Caenorhabditis elegans: one gene and its partners. The protein of the gene in region 1 interacts with the protein of each later gene in a pairwise test. Each region holds a gene or a part of one and is shown in the gene's direction. Other genes may lie near its edges.

Region 1 (4,416 bases):
GTTTGGTGGATCGAATGGGCGTATGATTTTGGCAAGCTGTGTCCATGAAACCAATTCCGGGCTCAATCCACCATGCATGCAGAAGATTCGTCCGGAGATCATTGCGCACAATGGGAGACTGTTGAACAAATTCTGAAATACTGAGGTTTGACAGAATACCGCAACGCACTAAAACTTACTTGGAACTCATTGTATAGAGCCAAAGAATATCTTCGTTTACACTCATCGTAAAATCCATACGTACGGTTGATTGAAGCACACTCGTGGTTTCCTCGGAGTATAAAGAACCCATTTGGATACCTGACTTTGTATGCCATGAGGAGACAAATGACTTCAAGTTGTTGACGTCCTCGATCCACGTAGTCGCCCAGGAACAGGTAGTTTTGATCCGGCGGGAATGAGCATCTGTTGAAGATTCGAAGAAGATCAGTATACTGCCCATGAATGTCTCCACAGACCTGAAAGTACACGTATTCTGGCAGGAACTTCAAGAATAACTCTCTATTTTACTAAAAAGTCAAAAGTCAACGTACCGCAATCGGCGCCTGAACCTCAACCATTGTCGCTTGCGCTGAGAGGATATCCTTACATTCCTCGATGACGCCATCAATATCTGCCTCTTTGATGCAATGTGTTAGAGAGGCGTTAGAAGTGTCGTTGACTGAAAATTATAACGTTACAGTATGAAACTTTAAATCTGCTAAATTAATTTACCTGATAAAACCTTATCGATAAAGTTGGGAATGTTGACCATTTCGAGCGTAGGTTAGTGTTGTTAGCAGTGAGTAGAAGATGCGAGATGCCGCGATGGTTAGTTAAAGTGGGAATAAATTATTTTCAATCGAAGTCCTTGTTTTGAAGAGTTGGAAGATCTTATCAAAGATAACAACTCGATGGGAGGAGGGGTCACACTAGACTATATGCAAAAGTTTTGATTTTTTGATTTATTTTTAAAAATCTTCTGACAACTTAACAGAATATTTTGTTTGCTTCACGTTTTAGAATGTGGGGGATTTTTACGATACCCAGAACTTTCTGAAATTCAGGTACCACCAAATACCACAAAAGAAAAACGAAAAAAATTAAGAACACTAAAAATCCGACTAAAATAAACGTGATTTTTTTTTTCAATTTTGGCTACTTTTTAGATCAAAATCCCCATTCGCACTACTCCATTTTTAAATAGTTGGCATCAAATCTAGACTTTGAAATTAAAAAGCATTCCTTAATTCTCCCAAACAGTCTTGCAGCTGCCCTTTATCCTGCCTTATTGTCCAATAATTGTTATGTAAATCCAACAAGACCACTTCTGCATCCCTTTTCGGCTCTCATTTTCCTGTACCGACACCCAATTTTGAAGTGGGTCCGGATGTGCACAATGATGATTAGCACACGAACATGAATGTCAAGTGCTGCTGGCTCATTCCGTTAGCCATCGTCGCTGCTTGTCGCGCCGAAGATAGATCAGATTGAAATCTGATATCTTCTATGTGTTTTCTGTGTTGATGTGTTGTCGGTGTCCTGTCAGATCACACTCTGGTACTTCACACTTTTGAGGGGACACGGGACAGCTCATTCATGTGTACATTAGACAAAGGTTAAGAGGAATTGCGCAATAATTTACATGTGGAAAGTACAAAGAATTGAGTTTTTTATTTTACTTGTTTTTTTTTCTGATAAATTGTTTCTGTGTGTCTGGCATCCTTTGCTCTTTTTAGACAACTCACATTCCTTTGGATTTATCAAATTTATAAAGATTTTCACATTATATGTTTAAAACTAAATTTGGTTATAGAAATAGAGCTCACTTGATCGTCTTTCATGAGCCATATCAACTTACGTGCATGATTCTAATAAATCAAATCAACAGCGGAAAGATTTAGACAACTTATATCCCGGTTATTTTTCCAGAGATCAGAAAAAAAACAAAACCATAAGGAAAAAGTACAAATTTTTCCAGTTGATAATGTTTTATAAAACTGGTCCAGTCCTAAACGATTAGATGCAAATGAGATAGTGAAAATACGGTATCACATTCACAGTTCACATTTTTGGATATTATCGAATACAGCTCGACAACATGGACTCAGATGCACCTATCATAACTCTGACCTCACTCATCCTTCTTAACCAGTTAATCTGCATTATATTGTCCGTACAACACTTCATTACACAACTCCTCCGCCCCTTTTAATGATGCCGCCATATATTCAACACAATGTGGGGTACTGTAGAAAAGTAGGCGGGGTCTTTGAAGAGGATAAGCTAAGCTAAAGGTTAGATACGGTTCACTCACGGTTTACCACGACACAAATTTTTATGGCTGCTCAACAACCACTATCTCAAGAGCAGCTTTTGCATTTTTGGGGTAAGTTTGAATTTTATAAGTTATTATATAAAAAAATCTTAATGGAATAATTGTTTTTAGGAGCTCACAACACCATGGGCAAAATGACAAGACGAACTTCGCAGTCTGATGGCGGAAAACCATCAGGCAACAGTAATGCCGCGGGCGGTGCTGGAACAAAACCGAAGGTGAGATTTTATTATGATAAACAGTTGTTTTTGATTTAAATAAAAATTGTAGGTTGCTACTCCACAAGTCGTTGCAAAAATTGAGCAATACAAAAGGGATAACCCAACAATCTTTGCGTGGGAGATCAGGGAAAAGCTCATAAGTGAAGGTATGTTCAAGCATTATTAGATTGAATTCAATATGATTGTTACCTGATGAATTAATTGAATTATATTAAAAAAACTTATAACGACAATTCTTGGCTACTGACTTTGTGTTTTCCAAAAAGTCTTATCATGTTCAAACAATTTTTATGGGAATTCAAATTTTTGACTTAAAAAACTTGATCTTAAAAATTTAGTTAATTTCTCCGTCTCGCTCAATAATTTTAATAAAAGCAAATAATGTTAAATTTCTGTATCCAAACAACAAATTTTCAGACGTTTGCACCACCCCACCCTCGGTTTCATCTATCAATCGTATCCTCCGTACTCGTGCAGCCGAACGAGCAGCTGAGGAGCTTCAAATGATCCTTTCGGCTCAACATCTAGCTCGTCCGCGTGCTCAACAAGTCCGACTGCCTCCTGCATTTCCATTCCCATTCCCATTGGTTTGGCCTGGACTGTTACCAAATCCTGCTCAGCTGTCGTTGCTATTGAACTCAGGAGCGTTGGCTCCGCCTGTTCAGTCAGGAGGAGCAGGAGGTCCTGGAGTTTTTGGAAATTCTGGGCAAATATCGGTAGACTCGAATCTGAATTTGTCGGAAGACGACTCAACTCTTGGCGCAAATGCTAGAAGACTCTCGAGGAGTACTTTTACAAATGGTTAGTTTTTTTTTTCAAATTTCATACAGCTTTACCTTTTCATTTTTATGGAGATTGCAGCAAATGTCTAACTTTTATACTTACAGAACAACTACAAAGTCTGGAAGAAGTCTTCCTCCGCGATCCCTACCCATCTCCCAATGAACGAGCTGATCTTGTCAAGAGAACCAATTTGCCAGAAGCACGTATACAAGTCTGGTTTTCAAATCGTCGTGCAAAATGGCGAAAGACAAATGCAAATGGAAGTGATCGAGATGAATTGAGAGCTGAACGATCTGAAACAGATGATGCTTTAAGTATTTCCAGTCAGTCACCATCACCTGGAGGAGGACAGGAAACGGGAAGTGACGAAGGGAAAAAGAAGACAATAACTTTATTTAAACCTTATGAATGATGCAAATTGAAGATGTTTTAATATTTATGAAAGATTCTGGTAATAAAATTGTTAAAGTGATAAAACTTCTGGTTTTAAAATATTTTTAAAAAAGCGTAATGCTAACTATCAAAATGCTAGTTCCAATCTTCACATTTTGAGCGATAAATTCTTGTGAATTTAGAAGAAGAGCGCACTAACTTTCCCCTATATGCAATTCCCACCTTCTAGATTGAAACATAAGTGGCCCAATACTCAGTTAAAGTCTACTCAAACTTTTTGGGTTACGGTAGTTTTGTGCTCCCTATTGTGCAAACAATTGCTCAAAGCTTTGAGATCAAAGAGAGAAAGTCCATCTCCTCTTCCCTATGAAACACCTAATATCCATTTCACAATGTATTGTCACTCGCACACATTTGTATCGGCTTCTCATTCATTTGCAACTAATATACCGTATCTTTGGCGGGAAAATAAGATGATGCGAGATCAAATTACAAACAATGTGCGCGGTGCGCGAGCAAGTGATACTCTTTGCGTGTACAAAAATCTTCTCTTTTTGATTCATTATTTATTTACTCTTGTTATTGAACAAGGTGTGAACAATAGAGTAACGATGTACAATGCAGATATGTTCTGTCAAGTTAGAAGTCGTTAGTCCCCGGGATAAAGTTATACCAACCAGGGGTGGGCATTCTTGATTGATA
Region 2 (4,416 bases), on another chromosome or scaffold:
TTTCCACAAATTCGCAGTTGACAACTTTTTCCAAATTTATCCGGAACCAAGATAGACGTATTAGAAGTTGGTAGTGGCCGAGGTTTTTCACCTCCACGGCCACAAGGCCAACACCCCCCAACTCATTATACCCCCGTGGTCCTAATGTGGTAACGCAATAATCTGTGTGTGCGTATGTTCAAGTACACATACCCCAAAAACTTGCGTAATTTCTTTGAATTTACCGCTATTCTGACATACGGAAATTTGAATATTATCGGGGGAAACGCGTGAAAACGTATTGAATGGAAAAAAATGTTGAAAATAATTTTAATTTTTTCGTGAAACTGGGAAATAATTTTCAAAAAAAACGTGTTTTTTTTTCAAAGTCGCCAACTAAAAATCAATAATCGAAAAAATCAGTTTCGAATTTTGTTTAAAAATTCCATTCCACTGAAACGAAGAAGAAGCCAAATGATTGCACAAGTCAGTTTAAGCCTGCCTGCCTGCCTGCCTGCAAAAAATGCTCCGAAATTTACAGCTCGTGCTTCCAATTCTTGTGATTTTCGGATCTCTGGTGATGAATTGTGGCGGAAAGAAGAAGAAGTCAGCAAATTCTCCGGAAGGAACAAATAAATCAAAGTTAGGGGCTCCAAAGGAGAAGAAGGATGAAACTGTGAGTTGTGTGACCGCGACGCGACCGCAACGCGACCGCAACGCATTGTTTAATTAATTTTGCTGATTTGGGATACGTACCACAGGTTTCTGCCTTCCCTCCTATTCTGAAATGTAAGAGTTTTGCCGAACTAGGCCATTTTGGCTCAGTAGATTTACGGGGCGTTGCGTGTCGCGTCGCGGCTCGGATTTGTCCGTGTGAAGTACACGACACTTTCCCACGCGTTGTCCGGCAGGCGATTGTCAATAGAGCGCGAATAATGCAATGAGGAAGGTCCTACTTTTAAAGAAACAATTCTGATTTCAGGAAGGCAACTACGAGGAGCTCGCCGTGCCACAATAATTTTCAGGATTCTCATTTTTCACTTGAATAAACCAGTTTTATTGGGATTTTTGTGTTAATTTTTGAATTTTTGAATTGGTGCCTGTTTCATGTGAAGCATTTAACAAGTGGAATTTACAAGGGAAAATTGTTAGCAAGTTGAAGTACGAGCGTTTTTTACAGAAGAAGTAGTATCTCCTCAGCCATTGTAGCTATCAAAAAGTTGTCAACTGGGAAAATATTTATAAATTTATGTTGAACATTTTTTTAGTTGGCAACTTTTCACTAGCTCCGATACTTTTTCAGTTATGGTAGTTTTTCGCGCAAAACTCCAACTAAAATTACCGATTTTTAAGTTTGAAGGCTTATATCTCCTTAGCTATTGAAGTTATCAAAAAGATTTTAACTATGAAAATATTGCAAAATTGATTTTAAACATTTTGTTGGTTGACAACTTTTTATTAGCTCTTACACTTTTCAAGTTATGCCCAGTTTTCCCCACGGAACTCCAAGACATGCCCACCTATTGCCACCTCGTTATACATTTAGGACCACCACCAATCTCTTTTGCGGTACATTATTCAACTAACAGCAGACGGTAGTTAGTTAGTTAGAGAACAACGACGCAACGATTGCGCCATTACAGTTCAAATCATCATAAAAAGAGCCGCCCGTCTTTAGAGACCCCGTGGGCAAATGGGGGAGGAGGCGGGTCTAGTAGGGCCTGTAGAGGTGTCCTGTTTGCGTGCAGACTTTTTCTCAGCATGCGGTAGCTCATAAGTTCCGGTGTAATAGTTTGGTAACTGTTGAGTAATACGGTTTTGGTTTTGAAAATTTAAAAAAAATTCTGTTTCAAAAAAATTTGTTTTATTATAATTTTTTTCAACTTATTACTGTGTTCTTTGGAAGCTTTTTCCTAAATTTCTAGCCATTTTCCACCAATTCTCCACCAATTTCCAGATTATTTCCAGATGATGACAGACATTCAACAGCAGCTGGCTGCCTCGAGAATGTGTGATTCGGATTCTATAAAGGCATTCAATCAGATGTACGCACAGAATCCGTATGGAGCAGGAGCTTTTGATAAGGTTTGTAATTTTTTTTGGAATTTTTCTGAAATTTGAAAAAGTAAAAAAATTTTTTTACTGTTTCAAAAATGCTTTTTAACAAAAAATTAAATTTTTTTCTTAGAACTACTCCGCAGCCACTGCTCTCCCATTTTTTGCTCAACATTTCGCGCCATACGCGAATCCCCATGCCACGTCATCTTTTTCCCCGTCATCGTCTTCCACGTCATCCACCACGTCGTCTCAAAATCAGCAGAGTGGCAGCAGTGGGAGTAAGAAGAAAAAACCGGTTCCGGTGCCGGAAAATCAAAAGGATGAGGTAAGAGATTAAATGGCCGAGAAATGAGAAAACTCGGCCACCAGAAAAAAACGGCCGATCTGCTAGTGTTAGATGTGGCCGAGAAAAAATGGCGGCCGAGGTTTCCTGGATTCCTTCTGCCACAGGGTTCTGGTTTTCCTCATTGAATGTTTCGCGCTCCATTGACAATCGCCCGCCGGACAACGAGTGGGAGAGTGTCGTGTACTCCACACGGACAAATCCGAGCCGCGACGCGACACGCAATGCGACGTAAATCTATCCCAGATATGGCCGAGCCAAAATGGCCTAGTTCTGCAAACTCTTCCATTTCAATTTATGAGGCCAGAAAACCGTGTTCTGCTATGAAAATTGAACTGTTTTTTTTAATTTCCGCTGGTTTTCAAAGTGGTGGCCGAGTTTTTTCTCTAATTTCACTGCCACGAAGTTGAAAAATTGATTTTTTTAAACTGAAAATAGAGTTTTTTTCTGATTTTTCAGTGAAAAAACGTTATTTTGGACCAATTTTGCTGATTTTTCTCGTATTTTGCATTTAAATCGAGATAAGTTGACAATTTTAATGTAAAATACAAAAAAAATCAGCAAAAAAGATCCAAAATAAAGTTTTTTAGCCGTATTTTTCTTAAAAAGGCGTATGAATTAAAAAGTCGTATGAATTTAAAAAGTCGTATGAATTAATAGCTAGCCACGTGTCGATTTACGGAGGCCGTGTACTCCTCGTGGAGTTGATTTCTCTGGGTTTTCGTTTGAAAAAAGTATTTTTATGCCAATTTTGCTGATTTTTCTTGTATTTAACGTTTGAATCGGCAATTTTTGAGTTAAAAACTATAAATTATGTCATAAAATGACAATTTACCATCAAAATCCAACAAAAATCAGTGAAAATTGGCCAAAATCAAGCTTTTCAGCCGTTTTTTTTTCTTCAAAAAACCAGTGTAAACTCTTCCACGAGGAGTACACGAGCTCCGTAAATCGACAGCTAATAGTCCAAAATCCTCTCGAATAAATCCAATTTTCCAGGCCTATCTCGACCGGCGCCGCCGAAACAACGAAGCCGCCCGTAAATCCAGAGAATCTCGCAAGAAAGTCGATCAGGACAATAGTGTTCGTGTAACATATTTGGAGAGGGTACGTTTTCAAAATTTCCCATAGATAATAATCCTTTGCATCATTTTTTTTGGCGGGTTTTTTTTTCCAAAAAAGGGCTTAATTGATGACGTCATCAGTCAACAGGTGTCAGCCTGGCTACGCAATAACTTTGAGAACGCGCCCACGCCGACTTTTCCCAATTTTTCAATAAATTTCGGGAATATCAGATGGCTTTTTGTAGATAACCGACACTTTTAAAAGTACTTTTTGATAGTTTTGCAAACGCGCTCTAGTGCACACGTACAGTAACGTTTGTTCCCTTAATGGTGTTCCACTTTTCGATATGTTCACCAAGAATGGTGTTGGAAAGATTTGTTGGTTTGGAGCAGTAGGTAGTGGACGCAGTTCGGTGTGAGCACTCGTTGGATCAATTCCAGGGAGTGGCTTTTCTTTTTTGTTTCGTTAAAGTTTAACTTTACTTTTTTTTCGGACTAAAAATAAAGAGTAACTCTGATAAAAGGCTTAGTTCTGACGGCATAAAATTTTTATCAATCAATTAATAATTATTTTTTCTCCAGGAAAATCAATGCTTGCGAGTCTACGTCCAACAGCTCCAACTACAAAACGAATCGATGAGACAACATTTGCTCCTGCAAAATCCGGGCACTATAGACACTATGGACCCGATTGCCATGGCGAATATGCCGAGTTATTAAGCTTCTCCCCTCCCACACAAAATCATCTCATTCTTGCACACACATTCAAATCCTTGCTTCTGTATCGAATTTCCACACACCACCCTCTCATTGCGTCACTTTTTTTTTGTAATTTTCTGTAAAAATATAGCTATTTTTGAAGAAAAATGCATTTTTTCAAAAAAAATAAATGAGCGACTACGGTAAGCAATTCCGAGTCTGCAAACACCGTCACGGCAGAATGCACAGAAAAACTCATTTTCAAATTATTTT
Region 3 (4,416 bases), on another chromosome or scaffold:
AAAAGTAAATTTGAAGCTTTGCTCACGTTTTGGGTATCAGCATATACTAGCTAGTCCACAGATATTTCAAATCTTTTTTAATTCAAGTAACATGTTTTCAAGATTTTTAAAGACTGTGTTGCGACACTGGGGAACCTATTTATTCAATTCAGATTTTTAAAACTGTAACAACTGCTCCATCTTTGAGATTTAGGAAATATTTGAAATCGTAAAGTGAATAAATTTTAGACTAAAATATTTGTTTCCCGCATAAAACTAAAATATCCTGTTATTACTGTTTCTTCCCGAAAACACCTGTATCCACCGAATAGTACAAGCATGTCGCGTGGTAGCTTTCATTCTCCTTGTCCCACTTCTCACTTCTCTCTCCAAATTTCTTCTTTTTTTTTCCAAAATAAAAATTCAAATTCCGTTGTCTTTTCATTTCGGCACCGGTACGCACACACCGGTATCACGTCATTCAAGAAAAAGGGAAAAGGTGGAAAAAGTGCATTTTCTGCGTCTATTGTGATTGGAGTACTATCTAGGGCACGATCGGGAAGAAACAAGGGAGTAGAAGGAAATTGAAAAGATTTGGGAAAAAAGAAGTGTGAAACTGTTGTACTGTACAAACAGAACATTTTGAATTTTAAACATCAGAAGCTGGAAAAGTTTCAGAGATTTGGTAGTCTTTTTATTGGAGCTTGGAAGTTAACATTTCATGATTTACTGGCCAAAACGTCCCCTGATTTAAAATATTTCGAGTAAATTGATGAATTATTGAAAATCTTTTTGGAGATATTTGTAGCTCGGTTTTGAACTTGTAAATATTTTTAAAAAATTTCCGTAACGGGTAGTCATATTGAAAATATGATAAAATGTTTTGGAAGCTGAGCTTTTTTGAGATCGCATCAATATAAGTTCCTGGCTCTGGTAAATCTATTGAGCTCGGTGTCAGTCTAATCAAGATCGATGTCAGCAGAAGCTGGCTGTACAGCCCTTGATTGGACTGAGTTTCAGAAAGCTCAAATGTTGTTTTCAAAATGCAACCTAGCTTCAGATCATAACGAAAGTATAGCATGTTTCATAGAAATTGGAAATACTTTCTTGAAACAAGTAAATGATTATTTTGCACCCAATGTTTGATGACTACCTCATGTCTTTCATTAGTATGGCATGCAATTTCAAAATTTAAATTATAATATTTCCTCTATTTGTCCTCTACTACTCTACTGCGCCATTTTAAAAAAGTAACAGCTCGGTCCATTGTGAAGATATTAGTGAATAAGTAAATTCAAGCGACAGACAAATAATTTTTGAAAAATGTTGTCAGTTGGCAATTTCTCAATAGAACAAATGACAACTGATATAAGCTGTAAACGTTTAGATTTTATTTTATTTGAGCTAGGCCCCTCTCATCCAAAAAGGTTATTAAAAGTTTATTGCCTGTTAAATTTATAGACTTAGACATCCATCCAAATATTTAAATGTTGCTGTTGCTTTTGGGTCAACAAACGACACATACCTGTTAGTGTCATCCTTCGTTCCGCGTGCACGCATCGCACTGAATCATCGGTATTCATCACCTCTTCTCTGCAATCAACGAGCCAAATGCCAATTGGGTTATTTGAGTTAGAAACTCGGGAAGCTTCACAGAAGAAATAATTAGCTGAATTGGCAAAGAGAGCACCTGCTCCCCGGAATGTCATACTTTTGTAGAATAAAAGAAGGGAAGACGACGACGTCTCCGGTTCTTCTATCCCAAACAATACCATTTTTTGTTTCCCATCTCGTCTTCGATGTTGCTGACTCACCATCAATATCTAAACAGAAAGCACCCAATGGTTCGCCTTTTTTGTCTCCTTTCTCGACAGTTTCTGTTTTTTTTTGTATGTTACATAAATACCGTACACCCACCATCTAGTCAATTGTCACATATTCGAAATCAAAAGTTATCAAAAACTCTCGTGCACTTTAATACACAGTTCCGTCGGCCACCCCGTCACCAGCCGGCGTTTTCTTGGTGATATCATTGGCGGTGGCTCTTTGAAAATTCAAATTTGGTGTCGTCCTCCCGAAGGTGTGGGCGGAGCTTGCGCACCGTTCGCGGTGGCCGTTGCTCTCGACAGTTTTCTCTTTCCCTCGCTCCTTTCTTCTCTCAACCAAACACCTGCCCACACACGCAACTTACTTTTGTCATCGCTGGTCCCCTGTCCAAAGATACAATCAACCCGTGTTGTGCTAATCATCACCTAGAAGAGTCATCTTCGTGAATCAGAATCCCTTTTCTTCCCCCTACTTTTTCCACTTCTATTCCCGGTTACTCACCTTCTGTGTTTGGCCCCGATCGTGTGTCAGCACCTCTGCTATATAAGAGAGTGGAATGTTCGAACAACCATCGTCGACGACTAACACCACCACGAGCTCTGGTTCTGGCTCCGATTCCAATCACTACTTCGAATTGGGTCCCAGGAACCCGATCAACCAAGCGCACCCGACATCAGTCATTGTTCCACCGCGACAACATCACCATCAGATCCACCAACAACAAACCGACAACTCACCTCTAACTCCGTGTACACCATATTATCCATCAAATGCATATGGACTCCCTTTATTCTTTGGAACTGATTTCCTGCAGGTATGATACATCACAAATATCTTCCTTAATTCAGTGTTTACTTCAAAGTCCACTATTCCCTTGCTAATAATCACGAGTTTTGATAGAGCTTTTAAATCATTACTTTCACTCATTTTTCACTCAACCTCGAGCCTTACATTTGTCAGTTGATCTCTTCTTTCCCATATAAAAATGAGATTATAGTAGCTTACTTTCATTTAGTTTAATATTAATTCTGAAAGTATCAAACCAAAAAGTAAAGCGTTCACTAATTCTTTTGTGCAAAAGTCATGCAGAAAAAAGTTACCTAGCTCTTGAATCTTTTCCCTCAAAAATGTTCTTACCAGCCATCTCCCCCGGATTTTAGTTCCGGAAAAATAAAACTATTTGGTTATGGATTAAATGTATATGGATAGGTGGTGCACGAGGAATCTTAAAAGAAGATGCCGACGTGTTTACACACTTCTACAGTAATCTATCTATCTTTCACCTTTCCCCCAATTGTTACTTTTGTGATCTTCTTTACCTCTCATGCACTCGCTAATCCGTTTTGGATTGTTTCCTGTTTGCACCTGTTGAAAAAAGATAAGTAATACTTATATGTTAACTTTTTTCGGTGCCAGTGAAAATATTACAGGCACGCAAATTTTTTAAATATTCAAAAAATATCTGTCACTTCTGCTTTGAGCTTGGGACCTACGAATAAAAAGAGATCACGTGTTTTAGCGTTCCTTCTTTGCGCTGACAACTTTTTACCAGTTTTCTTAGAATTATTGTCGCTGAAGACCAGACTTACAAAAATAATTTTTGAGCTTTATTTGTAAATAAAACAAACTTTAACAAAAAATGTAATAAACTGGCAAATGTGAACTCAGAACAATTATATTCACAGGTATTCTATTTCATTTTGAACATGTAGGTGTGAAACAGTATTCTTTTCAGTTCTAAATCAGTTTAACCCACTGAGAATTTTGACAAATGACGGTGAAAAAGGAAGAGTTGATAAAAAAATGATAAGACAATTGAAACCTTTTAATTATCAATTTCCAACACTTACTGAAAGAAAAACTATTTCTAGCGAACGCACCAATGTAGAATACCCATCTTTCTGCTTTGTTGGTTTTTGATAGGCTTTGATAAGTAGATTTTAAATTACCGTATATCTTCTATTAATATGGCCTCCCTATTAGACTTGCACTCCCTATTAGTATTGCCCCTCGGAGACCTTCCGAAAATTAGTATTGCACTCCCTATTAGTCTTGCACTCTCTAATAGTCTTGCGTTAACTTTTTTGTATTGCAAACCCGTCTCGCTAATTTCAGGATTTCAACAACATTTTTTGCCTATTTGGCAACAGTTTTCACATCATTTCTACGAGATTGAAGTTTTTGAACTTATATGAAAATCAAATTTTCTGAATTTTTACATATGATTCGAGCTTTTTCAGGAAAAAACTAGTAAGCTCAAAGTCAGAAAATGTTCTGAAAATTAGTATTGCACTCCATAATAGTCTTGCACTCCCTATTAGTATTGCAAGCGGGAAGGAATCGAAAAATAGTATTGCAGCCATATTAATAGAAGAAATACGGTATTAAATTATCAAAATTTACGAAAATATTTGAAACATATTTCATCAGTTGGAACAATACAGATATAATTCGCTGAAATAGAGCAAAAAGTGAAACAACTTTTTTATATTCTGAGTTTTACATAAATGTTTTCTTTTAATTTTTGCTTGATGTAGGTCATCAGGACAACGAATTCTGGTTATTACGGTTCATTTTATCACTCTACGTCTTTTGAAAATTTTTGCTTAT

What was found.
Region 2: the proteins of eyg-1 (region 1) and zip-7 interact in a two-hybrid assay, tested with the Caenorhabditis elegans proteins (one large-scale study listed by BioGRID).
Region 3: the proteins of eyg-1 (region 1) and fos-1 interact in a two-hybrid assay, tested with the Caenorhabditis elegans proteins (one large-scale study listed by BioGRID).

What each region holds. Positions count from the first base shown.
Region 1 is NC_003280.10:9,825,830-9,830,245, reverse strand, and holds eyg-1 (Homeobox domain-containing protein), read left to right. Parts: upstream 1-2,293; 5' UTR 2,294-2,319; coding exon 2,320-2,368; intron 2,369-2,428; coding exon 2,429-2,535; intron 2,536-2,587; coding exon 2,588-2,684; intron 2,685-2,955; coding exon 2,956-3,339; intron 3,340-3,425; coding exon 3,426-3,733; 3' UTR 3,734-3,798; downstream 3,799-4,416. Other genes in the region: ZK938.1 (Serine/threonine-protein phosphatase), read right to left, coding at 1-132, 180-458, 534-661, 715-754.
Region 2 is NC_003282.8:16,503,201-16,507,616, reverse strand, and holds the start of zip-7 (BZIP domain-containing protein), read left to right. Parts: upstream 1-1,934; 5' UTR 1,935-1,947; coding exon 1,948-2,064; intron 2,065-2,167; coding exon 2,168-2,362; intron 2,363-3,379; coding exon 3,380-3,487; intron 3,488-4,026; coding exon 4,027-4,164; 3' UTR 4,165-4,416. Other genes in the region: Y51H4A.935 (uncharacterized protein), read left to right, coding at 454-465, 521-655, 962-997.
Region 3 is NC_003283.11:6,006,204-6,010,619, forward strand, and holds the start of fos-1 (Transcription factor fos-1), read left to right. Parts: upstream 1-2,362; coding exon 2,363-2,620; intron 2,621-4,416. UniProt on the Caenorhabditis elegans protein: Developmentally regulated transcription factor which binds and recognizes the enhancer DNA sequence 5'-TGA[CG]TCA-3'.